Coturnix japonica: one gene and its partner. The protein of the gene in region 1 interacts with the protein of each later gene in a pairwise test. Links are inferred from orthologs where the notes say so. Each region holds a gene or a part of one and is shown in the gene's direction. Other genes may lie near its edges.

What was found.
Region 2: the proteins of CHN1 (region 1) and HEMK1 interact in binary tests that used the Homo sapiens proteins (3 or more experiments, as listed by UniProt). The two-hybrid records come from large-scale screens. The link is inferred for Coturnix japonica from reciprocal best matches to the Homo sapiens genes CHN1 and HEMK1.

The regions. Positions count from the first base shown.
Region 1 is NC_029522.1:14,963,092-14,966,909, forward strand, and holds part of CHN1 (N-chimaerin), read left to right. Parts: intron 1-2,702; coding exon 2,703-2,876; intron 2,877-3,598; coding exon 3,599-3,676; intron 3,677-3,818. UniProt on the Homo sapiens protein: GTPase-activating protein for p21-rac and a phorbol ester receptor. Involved in the assembly of neuronal locomotor circuits as a direct effector of EPHA4 in axon guidance.
Region 2 is NC_029527.1:947,886-951,703, forward strand, and holds part of HEMK1 (MTRF1L release factor glutamine methyltransferase), read left to right. Parts: intron 1-39; coding exon 40-135; intron 136-1,903; coding exon 1,904-2,017; intron 2,018-2,356; coding exon 2,357-2,393; 3' UTR 2,394-3,818. UniProt on the Homo sapiens protein: N5-glutamine methyltransferase responsible for the methylation of the glutamine residue in the universally conserved GGQ motif of the mitochondrial translation release factors MTRF1, MTRF1L, MRPL58/ICT1 and MTRFR.

The DNA.
Region 1 (3,818 bases):
CAACTTAGCTGCTCTGGATTTATTTTGATATAAGTAGAAATAGGCCTTCAGAGTGAAATCAATAGAATCTTGGTCTTAATCAACAAATGCAAACAGATGATGCAGATATATGCAGACAAGGCAGGCACACCTGAGGTTTCACCATGCAAAAGTGCACAGAGAGAATCAGGTCTATGCTTTCCTGTTTCTTTCTAGCTGATTCTCAAGTAATGGGTTTCAAAGCCTTGATGAAGCATCTGCAATGAGAGCAGAGGGCAGATGTATTTAATAATGCACAATTTGCAGTGTAAGTGCTGTCTTTTAGTACTAACAAGTAAGCTGGATATCATTAGAGCAGAAGGTTGGCACGTTGCACACAGCTCTGTGGAGCAGAGGGTTGACCTTCTGGCTGTGTGCTTTCTACCTTGTCTGAGTCAGTGAGACAGACAGACGGTCATCCTTCAGCCGTGCGTGACTCTGGCTGTCAGCTTGGTCAGAGACCAGTGACTGAGACATGACCCTTAGCTCAGGAGGGGGATTCACCCGATAGAAACCACAGCACTGGGGAGTTTCAGCTCATCTGTTGAAACAGGTAGCTTTTTTCTCTTGAAAATACACTGAAGTCTCTTCCAAGTAGATACTGCTGTCAAGTTGCTAAAGTGAGTGAGTCCCCTACATTCATTGTAAGAGCTAAAGAGCCTTGACTGTTAGAAAGATACTGAATGGCCCAATGGTGTTATTGAAAGCAGTGCTCGTGTGCTTTGTAAGCATTCACTATCTGAAGTATTTCTGGGTTTAAATGTTTCTCAGGAGTGTTCGTAAGCCCTTGAGCAGTGGGTCAGCACGTAAAATCCAGTCAAGTGTAAAGGAAGAACAAAAGATAGAAGGAAAGTTGACTTTTTCTGTTGTAATTCTGGCATTAATTAGGTCAGATCCAAAGCCTATTTGAGTCTGCGGGATTAGCAATAACACAATTATTTTTAGAAGTGAGGTTTTCACATAGGAAACATCTCTGTAAATTAGATATGTTAATGAAATAAAACTTTCTTGTATGTAAATACAATTAGGATGAGCTCAGTGAATGCAATAATTGCTTTAAGTCAAGTATAAGATGCTTGGAAGCATGTTTTTCTATTTTTATATATTTTAGTCTTAATTAGCCTTGGATTCCCAGAAACATAACTGTAAGCTGTATTGCTGTTTATGTGAAGTGGCTAATTTGCACTCAGCAAATGTCTGGTGAGTCCTCATGAGTAAGATGGAACCATTTCAGTCTTGTAGACAGCAGTTCTGACAGACATTGGTAACATTTCTGATAAATGTTTTAATATTCCAACCTTTTCACCCTGATGGAGCAGGTGCTCCTTGGGGCAGCTGTAGCAATTTGTGTACGATCATGATATTTGCAGTCATAAATAGTATTTCTGCTGCAAACTTGGGGTTTAAAACAAGGGAAATCAAGAATTAAGATTTCCTGTGGGATGTCAGGATGTTTCCTTTCCGTGTGTGCAAGAGAGGTATTGCCCCTCATTCTTTGGCTCCATGTTGTTTTGTCTCCGCTGCTGATCCTTGCTCTGGAAGCAGAGAGGATGGCTCTGGCTTGCTAGCACTGCTCAGAATTTTGTTTACTCCTTGCTGTTGAAAGTGGAGCCATTGCTTACCCTGACATTACAGCATTCGAACCCTGCACCAAAAGGTGAGGTGCAGTCCCACAAACAGACAACAAATGTCAATGCCAGAAAAAGCCAGAGCATCCCCTTTCCATTATAGAGCTGAAGCACGGAGGATTATGCTGCAGGATTCAGGTCACACGTTTCCAAAGAGTTTGGGCTCCCTATTTATAGCCTTGAGGGACCTGATTTGTCAGAGATCCACTGAAATGGAGTGTTGGTGGTATTTAAAGCCCCGGCAGAGCCGCCCTCACCCCACTGGCCGATGTGCTTCAAGGTTCTTTGCAGTAATGTGAATAAACTGCTGGCATAATCCAAGGGGAGGCTCTGCAGAAAGCTGTTGATCTTTCAGGTGTCCACATCCCTTCATTCCACTACTGTGGAAGCACAGTGAGCTGGGCCCAGCAGCAGAGCCGCACAGAGATGTGGGCAGGGCTTGGTGCTCTCTGAATACCAGCTGCAGCTTGCACGTGGCCTTGACTGCACAGTGCCACACTTCTTGCTGGCTGCTCCCTCCCAAATGCCTGCAAGTCTCCATTGCAGAACTGGAGAACTTGCAGTGATATCAGGGTGCTGGCTGCTGGCTGGGCACCGCTGCTGACAGAGGCAGCGGCCTGTGCTTAGCTGAAAAGTGACTGTGCTCTATAATCAGTGTTGGTTTCCTGTATGATTGTGGTTTTTTCCCACACCCTGGTTAGTATGTTCTGTGTGGTTTTGAGCAGAACAAACATTTTTCCATAATGTCATTTCAGCTGAACTTCACTTAGGCTAAGTCTCTTCTTCCTTCTGCTGTGGAGCAGTTTGTTCCTGCTTAAAAATAAAGGAATGAAAGAACAAATGAATAAGTAGGTAAATGGAACATCCTCCCAAAGTCACTTCTAAAGTGAATAGAACTGTTCTGGTGACTGCCAGCACAGCTGCACACCCAGCCCGTGGCCTTGCAAAAGCTGTAGCTGCAGGATCAGGTCAGGGTCCTCGTGTGCTCGGCATCCCTGACCTCAGGATCCATCTTCACCAAACACCAGCCTAATTGTCCTTTGTTTTTTCCCTCAGACTGTGGTTTAAATGTGCACAAGCAGTGTTCCAAGATGGTCCCAAATGACTGCAAGCCAGACCTGAAGCACGTCAAAAAAGTGTACAGCTGTGACCTTACCACGCTAGTCAAAGCGCACTTCACTAAAAGACCCATGGTGGTAGACATGTGCATTAGGGAGATTGAATCCCGAGGTAAGGCGTAGTTAATGGGCTCTCGTTGCTTTACTGATAATCCGTTTAGATTGATCTGGGTCATCTGGGTTTCTGCTGAGCGTATGATTGCTCAAAACAGATTTGCACAAGACGTTTTATGACTGCCACTTACCCTACACTGTTAATGTTATACTTCATATTATTTCATGGTTCATACGCGTTTATAATTCTATAGATTTTGCTAGAACCTGCTTAATGGATAATTACTACTTGGTTGTTACATATTGGCACCTGTCTTTCCAGTAATATCTTTAATAAAAGATCAAGTGAATGTGCCAGAATCAAAGCCAGTTAGTGAGGACGTGTTTCCTCTTGCTAGTTCCCATAGTGCACAGATACCCTTTTCTACAATTAGAATATTTATTTTCACTCTGAAATGATGACAGAACATCTCGTATGTTAATCTTGGTTACTTTTAAATCTGCTGTAATTGGCTTAATATGTTTCTTCAGCTCTGAAACCGTTTGCATAAACATAATTAAGTGCTGATATAAGGAAGCAGCTGAAACAAGGGTCAGGGTTAAAAGGGCAGGGTTAAAATCTTAGCCTGCTAAGATTTCATTCTGAAAGAAAAGCCTGATCAGGCCGTTAACTGGTCTGTTTTTCTTCCCTTAAATGAAGAACCTGGCAAAGAAAGGACTGGGTGGAAGGAAGCTGTGAAATTAATACTGATTTTAATCTTGTTGAAATGTTCCCTGCAGGTCTTAATTCCGAAGGACTGTACAGAGTTTCAGGATTTAGTGATCTTATTGAAGATGTCAAAATGGCATTTGACAGAGGTATGTTCTTCCCTTGTGCTGCCGTATTAAATAGACACAGCCTTTCTGTGTAGCCCTCTCCTGCCTCATGCTCTGCTGTGCCAGCAGTCAGAGGGAGTGGGGGGCTGTGCTGGCAGAAGGGCAGATATAATATCAGATTCTC
Region 2 (3,818 bases), on another chromosome or scaffold:
ATTATGAATTGCTATTAATGCCTTATTTCCAACCTCTAGCTATGAGGACCTTGATGCATTGGATGGGGGAGATGACGGGATGAGAGTCATCAAAACAATTCTGACTCTGGCTCCTTCTCTTCTGAAGGATTCTGGGTGAGTGTGATCCTCCTTTTGAATCTCACATCTTCTCTCCGTATCTGTAACTACTGTTGTTATTTCATACAGGATTGTACTGGGGGAAAATGACTGCAGAAATACCCATCTAGTAATAGTAATACATTTGTATTTATTTACAAAAAAAAATGATGTATATAAGCAAAATCATTAATTTTGAAATGAAGTTTGAAATTCATTAATGTAGGGATATGGGCCTTCTTTAACCAGCGCTGGTGTTTTGTAGACATTAACAAAATTAGAATCTTTAAAACTCAAAGCAGCAACAGAAAGAACAAGAGAGAACAGAGGGAAAGGAAGTACAAAAAAAAAAAAAAAAAAGCTTTCCAAGCAGAAAAGCTGTTAAGGGAAAAACAATATAGTGCTCTGTGAGAATGGGTGTAGATCTGTTTCCCTCTCACTCTTTAATTAGGGAAGCTTGTATGTTATGCCAGGATTCAGTGCTGAATGTCCTGGGAGAATAATGGTAATCAGCGTGAGACTGTTTCTTAAATGTTGGATTTCTGCACAAGGGATGCTTGAGACTGATTGGTTTCTACTTGCTGTCATGGGAGATCCATTTTATGATTGAAGATCAGCATGCTGATATCCAAATGTCTTTTGTGCCCTGCCAGTCTTATATCCTGTTGAAAATTCCTGTCTTTACCAGCGTCAGAGAGATCATTGAAAATCTCTTGTTTTGGGAAGAAGAACAGGAGTACCGAGGAGCACAATGGAAAGAAAAAAGTCCATATTCTTTTGCTCAGCCACAAGAGCAGAAGTTGTTCCCCAGTGCTTCCCAGCGGGAGACATCAGTCCCGTGGGGATGACTGTTAAGATATTTTTCCTAGTCCCTTTTTTGTTTGTTTTATAAGGTGGAGCCCACATTGCGGGGTAGGAGTCTTTTAAGGTCAATAACAAGAACCACACCCAGCCCGTAATTAGTTTGGTGAATTTATAGGGAGTGTTCGGTGTGGGGCTGTTCAGGAATTCTCAAGAGAGTGTAGGGTTGGGGCTTGGCCTCTGTGCTTTGCCTGTTTAACTTGTATCTTGCTAAACTGTCAAAGGCTGTAGTCCATTTCCACCTGCCTGTAACCTGGAGTGGTTCCACCTTGTTGCAGGAGGAGAGTTTCAGAAATGGGCCCATGTCACAAAGCCTGGCTGCAGCCAAGATGGAAATGGTTCTTTGTGACCAAGCTGTGTCCTGGTGCTTTATCTGAAGCTGTCTGACTAGTTCCTTTATCCCTATTGCTCTCTCCTTTGTATAGTCAATCATGTGTAAGACAGTATGACCTGAAACCTGGTGGTGGTTTCATAACTCATCTATGGAGATAATTATCACAGTAAAATGTGTGTACTGACTTGTACTTTGACTCTCACTGCTGGGACTTAATGTCACCATTCTCATACAAAGGAACTCCACGTTTCCAGTCCAGTGTTCAGCATTCGTGCATTTGCATTGTAGAGCAGCATGCTCCACTTTGAATCTTTGTGGGCATCAGAAAGATAAAGCTGGTGGGTGATATTCCTACGCAGGGTTCAGAAGGCTCCTATCATCTCAGTACCAGGTTAAAACTGCTCTTACAGAGGAGTATCATGAAAATTCCCATTAAGATCAACATTTTCTTCCTCTGAAGGAGGCGGTTGGAATCTGTTCTTAAATAGATAGCTGCAGTCTGTTTTAAGATCACTGATTTGCAGCGTTCCATAAAGGAAGATTTTAGTTTTTGTTGGCCTAGCAACCTAGTTATGTGTCACATCTTTTCAGGAGTGTGTTTCTGGAAGTTGATCCCAGACACCCAGGTATGGTGGAGGATTGGCTGTGTGAGCATCCTGACTTGCTCCTCACCCTTCATGCTGTTCACAAGGACTTTTGTGGCAAGTAAGTCTGTTTTACATTCAGATTTTACTTTGAGTATATGACTGTGTCCCATATAAATTAGATCCCTGCAGCCTGATATATTGAATGAAACTCAGCAAGAGAAAGTCAGCAGCTGAAGCCAACCTTTAACAAACCAGGGACTCTTTTCAACTGTCTGAACTTTATTATATCATGAGATAATCTTTTCTGAGTCAGAGATTCTGGCACAGGTGAGCATTTCTGGTGGGGTGACTAGCTCTGATGAAATTACTGCCATTGGTAAGTTGCTGCCTTTATATGATAGAGGTAGAACTGTGTTCACCCTAGCAAGACTTAAAACTGCTTATTTTTCTCCCACAGGCCTAGGTTTCTGCACATCCAAAAGCAAAGCAGATGACAACTGTACCAGAAACAACATCCTTTCTTGCAGTAAGCTTTTTTGCTGGTGAGCCCGTCTTGAATAGCTTGATGAAAGCTGCGTGACAAAAGACATCTCCATTTTCTGGTTTATGACTTCTCCATGCAGTGACAGACCCCTCACTTCCAATACAGATTTAATCTACAGTTGCAAAGGATCACAAGAGTGTTTGGAAGTGTTTAACCTTCCTCAGGGAACTTCGTGAACCTCACTCTGTTCAAGTGACTCATTAAGCTCAGGACCAAATGAGGAAGAGTTCACAGCTCCAGATATTTCCTTGCTGTGATAGCAAATTTCAAGGAAATATGTTAAAGATACAACTCGTCAACATGTTGTATCACTCACTTTGCCTAGAAAGAACATCACCTTTTTTTAACCTTGAGATAAAACTGAAAATGTGACCAACCTGGGTGATAATGGTCCCAACTTTGGCATATAGTATTTCATGAGTGTGCAGTTATATAGTGGGACATGACTAACTTGCACACTTCAAATTCAAGTCTCTTTTTAGGATCCTGATGCTCCAAAAGGAAAGCAGCCTTTGTTTCCTAGTACTGTTGAATGTCACTGAAGCATCATTACACAAGTTATACCATGATTGCTTAGGACAGACAGAGTTCTGCAGCTCAGATAAAGTCATTTTGGTGATATGTGAGTTGAGGAGGATTTTGGAAGAGAACAGACAACAATCTATGGATCAATTAGCCCCTTCCTTTGGAATATACTTGTTTGGACTAGAAGGGAAAGCCTTTTATTTAGGTAGTTAAGGACCACAACTGGGAAAGCACCTCTCCCTGACATACTTTCACTCCATATTTGTGGTTGTATAGAGTCAGTTGAGAGGAAGGAGCTCTTGGTGTTGGTTAAAATTATCTGAATCTACAGCACCTGATACTTTATGGATGCTGCCAGAAACAATAAAACCATCATAAGAAAGGTAGTGTTGTATGTAGGTTAAATTGAGTCTTATAAGAAATGCTTTACAACTGAGTTTTCAAACATGCCAGCTGTTCTGAATAAATATCTGGGATCTTCAAATTGCTTCTGATAGTAATACTAATGCTTAACTTCCAGGTAGGGATTTGGATTGTAAGACTTTACAAAGAAGGCCAGAATCACTGCTTCAGTTTCAGAGAAATCAAAAAGGTGAGGGGAAAAAAAGTTATACAGAATTTGACAACAGGATAAGTCTTAAGTAAGATCCAGTCTCTTGGTACCCACGGGATTAGCTGAGGTCCATTTCTTTGTTGGGGAAGGATGACTTAGGGCTGCCTGAAACATCTTTGTAAGCTTTGTACATGAAATTATGAGCCCTCGTTGGACTGTGCTACCTGCTGTGGTTTAGCACAGTAGAGCAAATGGATGGAAAGTGAGGAAAAAAGGTTCAGTTAGAGTGTACTTAAT